Linked DNA regions of Tribolium castaneum. The protein of the gene in region 1 purifies or fractionates together with the protein of each later gene. This does not show direct contact. Links are inferred from orthologs where the notes say so. Each region holds a gene or a part of one and is shown in the gene's direction. Other genes may lie near its edges.

Region 1 (6,686 bases):
CAGGAATTTCTTTTGAGGTATGCAAATTTTATACAAAAAGACAAGAAATAAAAACGGTGAAAATGAAACTGAAGAGTTAAACATGTAGGAAAGTGGGAATTTTTTTCGTTTTACGTTGCCATCCAAAGAACCATCAAATAACTAGTGGATGTTAGTGGCTTATACCAACCTGACATCACTTTGACTGTTGTTGAAAAGAAGAACTTTCATGAAGTTTAGAAATTTATTGTTGCATAATGTTTAATAATTTATTTACCCGGCGCATCCACCATATCTAACTTACTCTGTTCGAACATTTAATTTTTAGTTTTAGTGTCATTAAAGCTTACCAAAATCATTTTGTGTACATTTATTTACATTTCAATGCTATACAAAATAATAAAAAACGTTAAAACAAGTCAAACAATTTTATTTCTTTCAGCACCTGACTCGCATAATTGGTAAGTTAAACGTGTTGGGTTACTACTTCTTTGCTTGCAAAAATTAGCCATTTTTATCAAACTGTCATTACTTAACGTTTCTAAGTCTATCAACAAAAGCTCAATTCCGAAGTCTTCATAAAAAAACTCGTCTAAAATATCATGAATTTGAATAGACGCCACACTAATTTTTTTAAATTTGTGATTTATCTAAAAGTAATCTAAATAAGTCATGTAATTGATTTCCAAACAGACCGAGATCATTTATGTAAAATGGGACTTTATTCGAGGCTTCATCATCAATGCTGACAATGTTGTTTTCCGAAAAATCAATGAAGGTATTGTTTTTTTTTGTTCTCTAAAAGATAAACAGTTCTTTTCTAGTTTTGAAATATTATTGCCTGAAATTAGAAAATTAAATAAGGTTGGTAACCGAACAAATGCAAGAGGATTTAGATGAGTTATGTAATTTTGATTCAAATCAAGCATTTTTAAATTGAATAAGTCCACAAAAGCCTCAAAAAAATAAAAAAAATTGAAGAACATAGAAGACTGTTTGTAAAAGAATTTTGCGTAGAGCCTAAAAAATTATTATTGTAAAGAAATAATTATTCTAAAGAATAATTTATAAAAAACTATTGGTGTCAAGACGCAGTGGTGTGGTGTTTGTATGTGTAGTTGTTACTAAGTCACTGGCATTTCCATCTTTCAATGTCGCTTTTAAGTATTTAAATGAGTTAAAAGCCTGATGAAGTTTATTATAAAATCGAAACGTTGCAACTTGTCGTTTTATTTACAACCATTTAAGGAAGCTGTCCTAATGTCATTAAATTTTATTCCAATAAGAAACAAAAAAATATAAAATAAATAGAATATAAAATAATCTCACTGTAAAATAGTCTAAGAAAAGACTGGATTATAGATCTGCAGACAGCTTTTTAACAAAATTTGAGAAAAAAAATAAATTTTAGACAAAAGAGAAATCTAGAAAAGAATAAGAGTACAAAAAGAATGCAAAAATTAATAAAAAGAAATTCTAATTGAAACTGTGGAAGGGGACAGAGACTGGAAACTGAAGGAGAATTTGGAAAATCTAAAAGAACAGTCTACAAAATATTTATGAATAAAAATCTAGAGACTCAAGACAAAAGAATAATTTAGAAAAATTCTAAACGAAGCTATAGAAGGAATTTGAGAAAACGTACAAGCCACAAGCTAATTTGGAGAATGTATAAGAAATACTTTAAAAAGATTTTGAATAAGTTACAAAATAATTGTGAAAAACATCAAGGGAAGAATTTAGAAATGAATCATAAAGTGGATTTATAATATAATTAAAAGAAGAAACCGGATTTTAAAACTATTAGAGACGGCTTTATAAAAAAATTGAGAAAAAAAAATTGAAACAATAGAAAAGAATTGGTACAAAAAACATACTAAATATTGATAAAAAAACTTTAATTTTAACTTAAATGAAATTGTAGAAAAGGGTCAGAGGATGGAATAAAAGAAGAATTTGGATAATGTAGAAGTAGTGTTTATAAAGAACTTTTAATGCAGTATAGAAAATAATTCTAAATAAAAATCTAGACATGAATCTAAAGAATAATTTAAAGAATAATAATTTAAAAAAAATGTAAAGATGGGGTTATAAAAAAATAATCCAAAGAAGAGACTGGATTTTAAATCTAGAGACGACTAAAATAATTTGAAAAACATTTTTAGAAATATTTTGAAAAAAGAGCAATCTAGAAAAGAATTGGTACAAAAGAATACTAAAAAAATAATAAAAAAATACTAAATAAAACTGTAGAAAGGGACAGAAAGTGGAATCTAAAGGAGAATTTAGAAAATGTAGAAAGCGTTTATAAAAGAATTTTGATGAACAAAGCATTTCTAAATCAAAGTCCATACGATGAATTTATAAAATAAGTTTATTTCCTATTTCATATTTACAGATGGTTTAGAACAATGAGAGAAGAATGTTAAAAAAATAGTGACACAAAATCAAAGCATAATTTTGGAAGATCTAAACGAAGGATTTTGAAAAGTCGCAGAGTAAAATCAAAAATAAAATTTTTAGGATGTATTAAAAAAGTGATTTCAAAGAATTTTGAATTCAGTCTATTAGCTGTTTTTTAAACTACAAAAACGCCAACGTCACATTTTGTCTCAAAATTAGCTGTTAATGCTGTTATGAATTTTTGATGCACCTAAAAAAAAATAATGAAAGTTATAACAAGCGAATTTTTAAAATTTTGATCTAGGTATCCTTGACAGTTACCTCAACAGTGAAATATATTACGTAAATAACTTCAGCATCGCTTTATCTGTCAATATATCTAAAATATTCACCGAAGAACATAAAAAATTATGCTGGATTCTTATTTCCCTAAAGGACATTGGGTTAACTTAACTGTTGTGGATTACTAGATCAAAATTTTAAAACATCGCATGGTACTTTCAATGAAAGATCTAAACATTAATAACTGTTTTACAATTTCATCAACCTTGGCGTTTGTATAGTCTTGAAACAGCTAATATAAATACAAAGAATATTAAAAAAACATTTGGAAATGAAGTAAGAAACGCCACGTTAGCGTTTATATAGTTTTGAAACAGCTAAATAGAAATGTATTATGAAACATTTTCGGGATCTAAATATGGTTTTAGAAAAGAATATGACAAGAATGTTAAGAAAAGTCTAGGGACGAGTACTGAATCCATGCTGAGGAATAAATAATTTGAAAGAATGTTAAACGAAATTATAGAATTTTGAAAAGACGCAAGGGAAATGTTGTGTGTTATTATTATTAGATGTTATTAGTGTTTTGTGCAATAAAAATAAATGTATTTTTTATTTTATTTATTTTATTCCGTGTTTTTAAATCTGGAGAATTATGGTGTTACAAGTGGCACGGTTGGCAACGCTACCGCGACTTCAAACGTCAAAGAAGCATCCCAAATTTATGCTAAAAATCGGTCTTTTTTAATAAAAAAAACGTGTGTAGTGTCGTTGTTACAATGGCAGATGTTTTGGACATCAACGATTCCGTCGAATTGGACGTGGAAGACGAAGGAGACCGTAGGCAAGCCGTAACATAACCTCTCCTTTTCCTAACCTCACATTTCCAGAGAGCGTTTTGCGCCTGAAAGATAAAGTTGTAAAGCGGAAAGGTCGCGGCTTTGGGCCTGGAGAGACCAAGGAACATGAGAAAATTCGAGGATATGAAAGCATAGATTCCGGGGATCACGGAGACGAGCCTGGGCCACAGAAATGTAATTTGCATTTTAAACAGTTTTAGTGTTGTAAACAGTTATTTTGCGTTCTAGCTGTGGAGGGGTGGATTTTGTTTGTGACTTCGGTGCATGAAGAGGCCAGTGAGGATGATTTGAGTGAGAAGTTTTCCGAGTTTGGGGCTATCAAAAATATAAGTATCAACTTGGATCGTCGGACGGGTTTTTTGAAGGGATATGCTTTGATTGAATATGGGACGTACGAGGAAGCGTTTGCGGCCAGGGAGGCTTTGAATGGGTCTTTGTTGTTAGGGCAAACAGTTGGAGTTGACTGGTGTTTTGTTAAGGGGCCCAAAAAGTAAGTTTCTTGGTTTTGAATGGTTAAATCTTAGTGATTTGATTTCTTTTCAGGTCAAAGAAACGTGCAAGGAGACACTGATTGTAACTGTAAATTATTTATAACTCAATTTTCCACTTATATCCATTAATTTCTTAAGATTACAAAAGTAAGGTTCTTTGGTGTATTTTATTTATGACATTCAAGAAGTAATAAATTGTGAGTTTTTTACGTGTGAAGTGTATTTTTTCTATAGTTTGGGACAAGCAAGTATTCTCAAAAGACTTGGTAAAAAGTACAATGTGATCATTTAAAGTTATGGTTACAATAGATTTTAAAATTGTTTTAACTTGGATTAAAACGGTGATTATCAATTATCACCATTAATCCAACTCAAGTTTAAATAAGGATCGGTATCAGAAACATATAAAAATAAACAGTCATTTATTGTAAAAAAAACACTAATAACTGTGCTAATAACAAAAAACAATGTGTACTCTGTTTCTGTGAATTGTAGAATTGTCAATGTCACAATCAATAGTGGAGTAGTTGTTTCAATACTATAAAAACATCAACGTTGCATTTTCCCTTAAAATTAGCTGTTATAACTTATTCGTGGACTTAAAAAAAATAACAGCTAATGTAATTTATATTTTCAATGAGATCTAAGTATTAATAACTATTTTATAATTTCATTAAAAAAAATAATTTGGTAAAATGCGACGTTGGCGTTTTTATAGTTTTGAATCAGCTAGACCCACATTACACTTGGAAGTGCACGCAAAAGAAAGGAAACTGATATTCATAATTTCTAGTATTCTGTATTGATCAGTGGTCTCCTAAATTTTTCAGTAACAGTATTTCTGGACATCTCCGTAGTCTCCTTTACTGTCTTTTGCAACACCATATTTTGAAAATAATTGTGACCAAAGTTACACTTCCCTTGCAAGGTTCGCTTTAATTCAGTTAATTTTCGATTCCACGGTATTATAATTATGTAATATGTTGTAGATTCATGTTTAAATTCTTTTCTAAATTTTTCTTGAAAATTATGTTGTATTAGCTGTTTCAAGTTTAAAAACGGCAACGTCTCATTTTTTCTCAAAATTAGCTGTTATAAATTATTCATGCCCTTCAAAAAATAACGGCTAATATAATTTACACATTTTCAATTAAAGGTTAGTCAGTCATTAATAACTATTTTAAAATTGTATCAATCTTGTTTAAAAAAAAATTTAGTAAAATGCGACGATGGCGTTTTTAATCAGGAACAAAAAGACGTTTGAAAAATATAAGTAGAGTCATGAAAATGACAGAACGTCCACGGTGGTGGGAGTGCGCAGAGATGAAAACTTGTCGCGGATGAGTCCATGGAGCAATGGTGTGGTGTGTATTTTCGTGTATCAAGAATTCATCGTAATTTTTAACGATTCAATATCATTAATGGTAAAGGTAACATAAGAAATCTTTTTTGTACGTTTTTACTCATTCACATTGTGTTTTTGTTATTTATTGGACATCTCTGCTTTATGTTTATATGAAATTAACAACTAACGTGTAGGAATCAGATGTGTGATGTCTTATTATCTCATATTGCTATTATTAAATACAGGAAATAATAAATAATAAAAAGTTTAAAACTCAAACCCCTTTTTCCTATAGGATAGTTTTTTGATACGCCACTGCTCATTCTCCCCACTCGACCAAGTACGCATTGGCTCCGCCTAGCGTAGACGTTCTTTTTGTAAAAAAGTGCCTGAAAAATGTCCTTAAAAACGTCTACTTTTGATTCACTTTCATAAAAACCATTGTAGTGGAATTAACTAACCTGTTACCACGACAACTCATATAAAACTTAATGCTAAGAGTACCCAATTTCCATCATAATGATTTTTATGAAAGTGAACCGAATGTAGTTCTTCTAGTTTTCATTTGAAAAATTAAAAACAAAATTTACAAGTTTGTGGTTTTTCTGAATAATTCAGAAACTAAAAATGACGCATAAAATTTTCCTTCCGATAATTGTTCAGCATAAAAATGCGCAACCGACCACGTATCTCTTATAATAATTGAGATACCCTGGTGGAGTTTGAAAAATAGACAGCCTGTATGTACAAAATTTGACATTCTACAAAGTAGACTGGTAATTCTCAAAATGGATTTTCTCCAGTAGGTGCTTATAGTATTCTTATAATTATAATAATTATTGTTTATTTGGTCTGATGATTCATGTAAAAGAATACTTTAAATAATGTTTTTCTACATATGCACAGGGTGATATAGTCTGGTCTTTAACAAAATTGTGACACTGACAGTTGATTATATAAAAAAAAAATTAACTATATTTAACTATTCTTTACTTGATCAATGAAATTTGAATTCATCGAAATCACCATATCAGGTTGCAATTGGCTAACATTGAGCCGCGTTGATAGGCGTGCACGCAGAGAAAATTAGGAATTAAAAATTCAAAACTAAAATTATAGAACAATTGGAGCAAAACTAATATTTAATTTTTAGTGTTAAATAATATTAATTTGCATATAGTTTAATTTGAATCCCATAATGTATTAGCTGTTTAAAAACTATAAAAACGCCAACGTCGCATCTTACCAAATAATTTTTTTAAATAAGATTGATAAAATTATAAAATACTTATTATCTTATTAATGATTAGATCTCTTATTGAAACT
Region 2 (5,873 bases), on another chromosome or scaffold:
CTTTATTGGTTAAACAATCGGCAATTTTTTATTTAAACACAAACCAGACGCGTGATTTATTAGAAGATGGTATAATTTGCCAACAAAGGGATCACTTGCCAGTAGCCGATCTCATTGTCTTAAGACATCATTTTACGTCTCGAATACTTATAAATTATAATGTAGTAAGTTTTTGTGACCCAAAATTATTGATTCGCAATCTTTACATATTTAATTAATTGAAAAACTTTAGCCACATGACTCTACGTTCTATGTGCTTTTCCGAGGCCTCTACCGAGTTTGCCTTTTTTTGCATCCTAGAGCTCTAATAAATCTAATAAAATGGTTTTAAGATCAAACGATTATTTGGTCGGATATATCGATATCATTATTTAATTTAAGACGTCTTGCATTGAAATGACTAAGATTTTGTATGCCATTATTGTTTTTTTATATAAAAAATTAAAAAATGCAACAGAAAACTATTTGCCTTGTTAGAAAAAGCCGAGGAGGCGCCCGTGGCAGCGGAAGATGAGCCCGAAGACTCTGCCACAACCAACGCCAGCAATAAAATCCTCCTCGAGGCATTTTTCAACAACTTGCCCAACTGCGTGAACCGCGAAATGATCGACAACGCAGCCATCGATTTCCTCGTAACCCTCAACAACAAACACAACCGCAAGAAGCTGGTCCGTGCCCTGTTCGGGGTAAACCGCACCCGTCTCGACCTCCTCCCGTTCTACGCCCGCTTCGTGGCCATCCTCCGTCCAGCCCTTCCCGAAGTGGGCAACGAACTGTGCCAAATGCTGCGGCAAGACTTCAAATACCACGTACGCAAGAAAGACCAAATTAACATCGAATCCAAAATAAAAGTCGTACGATTTATCGGCGAACTCGTCAAATTCAAGCTCTATTCAAAAATAGAAGCTCTCTATTGTCTCAAAGTTCTGCTGTACGATTTCTCGCACCATCACATCGAAATGGCCTGCAATCTGTTGGAAGTTTGCGGCCGGTTTTTGTACTGCAGTCCCGACTCGCATCAAAGGACGAGGGTGTATTTGGAGCAAATGATGAGGAAAAAGGCCGTTATGGCGTTGGATTCGAGATATGTGACGCAAATTGAAAACGCCTATTATTACGTCAATCCGCCCGAAGTAACAATCACGAAGAAGGAGAGGCCGATAATGCACCAGTTTATCCGGAAATTGCTCTTTCAAGACTTGCAGAAGAATAACACTGATAAGATTATGAGGCTGATTAGGAAGCTGGACTGGGGCAACGAGGACGTGTCCGCTTATGCAATAAAGTGTCTAAGCAGCGCCCACAACGTGAAGTATTTCAATATCAGGTAAGACGTGTGTTCCACGATTTTTCCAACTGATTTTTTTGGAGCGTTAATATTTTTTTATGCAACGGATATTTAATTTATTTCATGATACGGACTCCTTTTTGTCTATTTTTTCTGATCTTTTAATAACTGAGACGTGATTAAGGTGAACTACAAAACAGTTAAATAAAGCTGAAGAAAAATAATTCTTTTGTTTCCGGGCCTAATGATCTATCTACCAGGAAGAAATTGTACGAATAATAATAGTCAATTTTTTAACTAATTTTGCATAAGCTGTTTTTTTATAAGTGCTTGACCTTTAATAATAATAGGAGCCAAAATTATGAACTACAAAATTCAAGAAGAAAAATCTATCTTTTAGGTGTCTCGCAAATTTGCTTGCGGGCTTGGTGACCTACCAGGAAGAGGTTGGCACTCGTGTAGTGGACAGTGTTTTAGAAGACATTCGGTTAGGTATGGAAGTAAATCTTCCCAAATATAACCAGAGACGTGTAGCTCAAGTAAAATATCTTGGGGAGCTGTATAACTACAGAATGGTTGAAAGCGCTGACATTTTCAAGGTTTGTTTAATTTTTTATAAATAACAATAAAACCTTTTACTCAGGTTTTGTATTCTTTGATAACATTTGGAGTTTCAATGGATCCAAACATACCGTCGCCACTCGATCCACCAAATCACCTTTTCCGAATAAGACTGGCTTGTGTTTTACTTGAAACATGCGGTAATTTATTATTTTTTAATTACTGTTTTAGGCCAATTTCAACTTGTAGGCACGTATTTCAGCAGCGGTAGCAGTAAGAGGAGACTAGACTATTATTTAATATTTCTGCAATCGTATTATTGGTTCAAGCGCGACTTGTGGAAAGATGCATTTCCTCCAACACTGGAGCACATTTTTAAAGACACTCTCACGACCCTGAGACCAAAAATTAAATTGTGTCAAAGCTACGAAGAAACACAAACCGAGTTAAATAATATTCGCGTCACTTTGGGCTTTGGTAAGCTTTGTTTTAAAAAATCCCGAAATAAAACTAAGTCAATTAGATAAAATCACTGGAGATTTGAACGAAAATAAAGTTGAGGAAGACGGCCTGGAAACGATCGCTGAAACCGACACTGAAGAACAGGACGAAGTGTCCGAAGTCACGGCACCTATTACTGATGATACCGCCACTGAGGACGAAACGGTGGACCACACACAAGGCTCGGACGATGAAGGTCCGTCTCACTTTTAAAATCTTCCAATTTTTTTAATTATTTTTTAGGGGAACCCGATGTTAGCGAAGCTGAGCAAGAACAAGTGTCCGAATCGCTGGCAATTCCCAGTGGCCCCCGCAAGGTCGAGTGCCCCGAGGACGAGGACTTTTTAAACGCTTTGGATAAAATGGTTTCGGAGAACATCCAAGAGCGGATGCGCGAGCCGGTGAAGGCCGGAAACGTGGACATTTCCGTTCCGGTTGTCCTCAAATCGAACAAAAAGACCTACGAGCAGTTGCAGGACGCCCCTGAAACGGAACCCAACAAAATCGGGTTCGTGCTAATGGTCCGCAAAGGAAACAAGCAGCAATATAAAAATTTCGAGGCTGATATCAACTCCGAACTCGCTCAGAATCTGAGGGACCAGGAGTTGGCTCAGAAGGAGGAGAAGGAACGAGTGAAGCGCTTGACGCTGAACATCACGGAACGGTTTGAAGAGGAGGATTATCAAGACATGATGCAGCAGCAGAACAGGCCCGTGACCCAAAACTTGAACCGCGAACGCAAGAAATACCAGCACCCCAAGGGGGCGCCCGACGCCGACCTGATTTTTGGACCTAAGAGAGTTAGATAATGGGAGGAATTCAGGATGAAATGGTTGAATACGATTAAGGGTCAAAGAAGTTCAGAATGTTTCAGAAATAGATAGATTGTTTCGTTTTTAGTCTATCGGAATTGAGAATTGTGAAGGAGAAGCAAGGAATTTCATTTTTTGTTTCGTTCAACATTGTTTTCTGTTGGAATAAAACCTTTTCACTAGTCAGTGTTTTATAAAAAATGGATTAAAATTAAAGATACAAAACCTAACATAATTCAGGGATCAGTCTGCATCTTCAAAATCCTCATCCTCGTTGCCATTCCGGTAGCTGTACTGGACGTCGACTGAGTTGTTTTGTAGCCTTTCGGCCAAACTGTCGACAACTGCGTCCCCAATCTGCTCAGACTCTGCTTCTATAAACATTTCTTCTTCTGCGTCCGCGAATAAATTATCATCGTCCTCGTCGTCAACATCGGCAGGATCGGGATTGAGTTCTTGGCAAATTTTTATAGCCTCGTAAATACTTTGTACATGTGTGGGGTTTTCGGGGGCTAAAATCAGCTCCGAGAGGTCTGGCTCTGACTCAACGTCACTGTCATCATTTGCGGGCCTTTGGTCAGTTTCTCCTACAAAACGACGCACAATAAACCAAATTTTGCGCAAAAAATTACAAACCAAACAAATTTATGTGGGGGTCAGTCAAAATATAAATACACTCCCTCTCGCACACGTTGGGGTCTTTGGACACCGCATGGAGCGAGACGTTGTAATATTCAATTGAAAAACCCGTAGTCCCGTCTTTTTGCCAACTGAGTGTCCTGTAATTTAACACAATGTATTTTTCGTTTGGTTTTGCCATAATTGTGTTACCTTTCGCTCACAAATAGGGTTCCGGTGCCCAGATCACGTTTATCCAAAATCACCACAACGTTTGACTGCTCGAGTCTTATAGGAGATTCTGGTGGTTTAAACGACGTGACCACAACCATTCTTCCTCCACTTTTTTTCGCAAAACGTGTTTATTTTTCAAAATTATTGTAACCACAAACTATGGCGCTTGACGTTTAACTTGGGGATTTTTATTTTCTTTTGGCGGCGTTGTGAGCTAAGGACCAATCACGGGCTGGTATTTTGAACCGGCTGTGTTTGATTGGGGAAAAAAACCTGTTATTCTGTGGGGAAAATATTTGTTGTCAATTGAGGTTAGGTGTTTGTTGACAAAAACTGATGGATTCCCAAAAAACAACCTTTTGTAACGAAATCTCGCTGATGATGTTTGGGTTCGGCGACAGCCACAAGCCGAACCCCGAGACGGTGCGTTTGGTGGAGAGCATCGTGTTGAAGCAGCTCCGCATGATCGTCCAGGAAGCGCTGAAGTACTCCGATGGTAAGAACCTCAAAGGCAAGGAGTTGGTGTTCCTAATGCGGCACAATAAGCACAAAATGCGCCGCTTTTTCCAATATTTGAAAAACAAGCAACTCAAACAGCAACTCCAGTCGTTGAACTCGGGGGTCATTGAAATTGACAGAGATCCCATACCGAAGAACGAGCTAATGAAGTTTATCGAGTACATAGACGAGACGGGAGAATTCACCGATTTATCCGAAGTTGATGAAGTCAAACAGTCGAGGATGCTGAGGGCTGATCGCATATCTCAAGCCCTGGACGAGAAGAGGTATTTGGAGTTTTGCAAAGCGAGAGCCACCTCGTTTTGCAGTAGAGATATCACGGCCCGAAACTCCGAAAAATTAAGACAGTGGATTGACCCGAAAAAGGAAATTAATTTCAGCACTAATGCTATGGTGGTTTTGTCGTATTTGGGGTACCAGACAGTTGCTGAGATAACCGATTATGCGTTGCTTGTGAGGATGGAGGGCAAATGTGGGAGTGATCCACTGAATCATTTATACGGCAATTACTACACTTCTACGATGTTTAATGGGGATTATAGGATAGGGGCTAGTGGTAACAATCCAGACTATAGCAGGGTTTACAGTGGACAGCCCCCCATTAGTGTCAATGAAATTAAAGAAGTTATGAGAAGAATTCACTGTCCGCAAGCAGGGAAGCTGAATTTCGGGGGAAAACTACCAGACACGCATTATCTATTTGCTCTGTAATTTGTTCTAATAAAGTTTAATTTTTTAAACGGTCTTTTATTTATCCAAATATTACGCTGCAAAATTTATGTGCAGCGAATCCATTCTCGACAAATTTTTTACGAAAAAAATAGAGATTATGCAAGATGATATTGAAGCAACCGATGTTATAATTTCTCTCGCCAAACTCTGAAAACAAAGGTATTGGGGTCAGTCAAGTTAGCCTCTCACTTATTTTTTATAATTTGGATTGTTGTGCTAATGTTTTTATTAATTGTGCTTTTTCGAAACTAATCTTAGAGCTAAAGTCACTGCTAACCGTGCAATATTTTAATGTGTTTATGTATTTTTAAAATAAATAAATTTTAATACTTTCTTCAAAATTCTTTAATGTTTATCAGATGTTTTTGCCTATGGTTAAATTGTGTAAGGCATTTATTTTAACATATAATTTAAATTACTTAACTTTGGTGTGTTTTATCGTCATTTGTACTTTTTTGTACGTAATTTAAAAAATGTTTAAATAGGGAGACATTATCAGGTTCCCAACTTCCCATCATAAATATTCTAGAGCTTACATCATTATTATTATTTATTTTTAGTAAAATTAAAAATAAAGCGTTGATCGTCTTCTATTCGTTTTTTGATTA

What was found. Proteins that work in one complex are often made in the same cells at the same time.
Region 2: the proteins of tsu (region 1) and Upf2 purify together in Homo sapiens (co-immunoprecipitation; 6 studies listed by BioGRID and IntAct, with this or other methods). This does not show direct contact. The link is inferred for Tribolium castaneum from reciprocal best matches to the Homo sapiens genes RBM8A and UPF2.

Annotation. Positions count from the first base shown.
Region 1 is NC_087399.1:11,506,534-11,513,219, forward strand, and holds tsu (RNA-binding protein 8A), read left to right. Parts: upstream 1-3,328; 5' UTR 3,329-3,443; coding exon 3,444-3,504; intron 3,505-3,554; coding exon 3,555-3,698; intron 3,699-3,752; coding exon 3,753-4,014; intron 4,015-4,067; coding exon 4,068-4,095; 3' UTR 4,096-4,224; downstream 4,225-6,686.
Region 2 is NC_087394.1:28,286,545-28,292,417, forward strand, and holds the end of Upf2 (regulator of nonsense transcripts 2), read left to right. Parts: intron 1-477; coding exon 478-1,327; intron 1,328-1,688; coding exon 1,689-1,887; intron 1,888-1,931; coding exon 1,932-2,049; intron 2,050-2,098; coding exon 2,099-2,326; intron 2,327-2,372; coding exon 2,373-2,546; intron 2,547-2,593; coding exon 2,594-3,159; 3' UTR 3,160-3,344; downstream 3,345-5,873. Other genes in the region: icln (methylosome subunit pICln), read right to left, coding at 3,406-3,749, 3,799-3,941, 3,994-4,112; transcription initiation protein SPT3 homolog, read left to right, coding at 4,351-5,244; uncharacterized protein LOC103312536, read right to left, coding at 5,296-5,412. UniProt on the Homo sapiens protein: Involved in nonsense-mediated decay (NMD) of mRNAs containing premature stop codons by associating with the nuclear exon junction complex (EJC).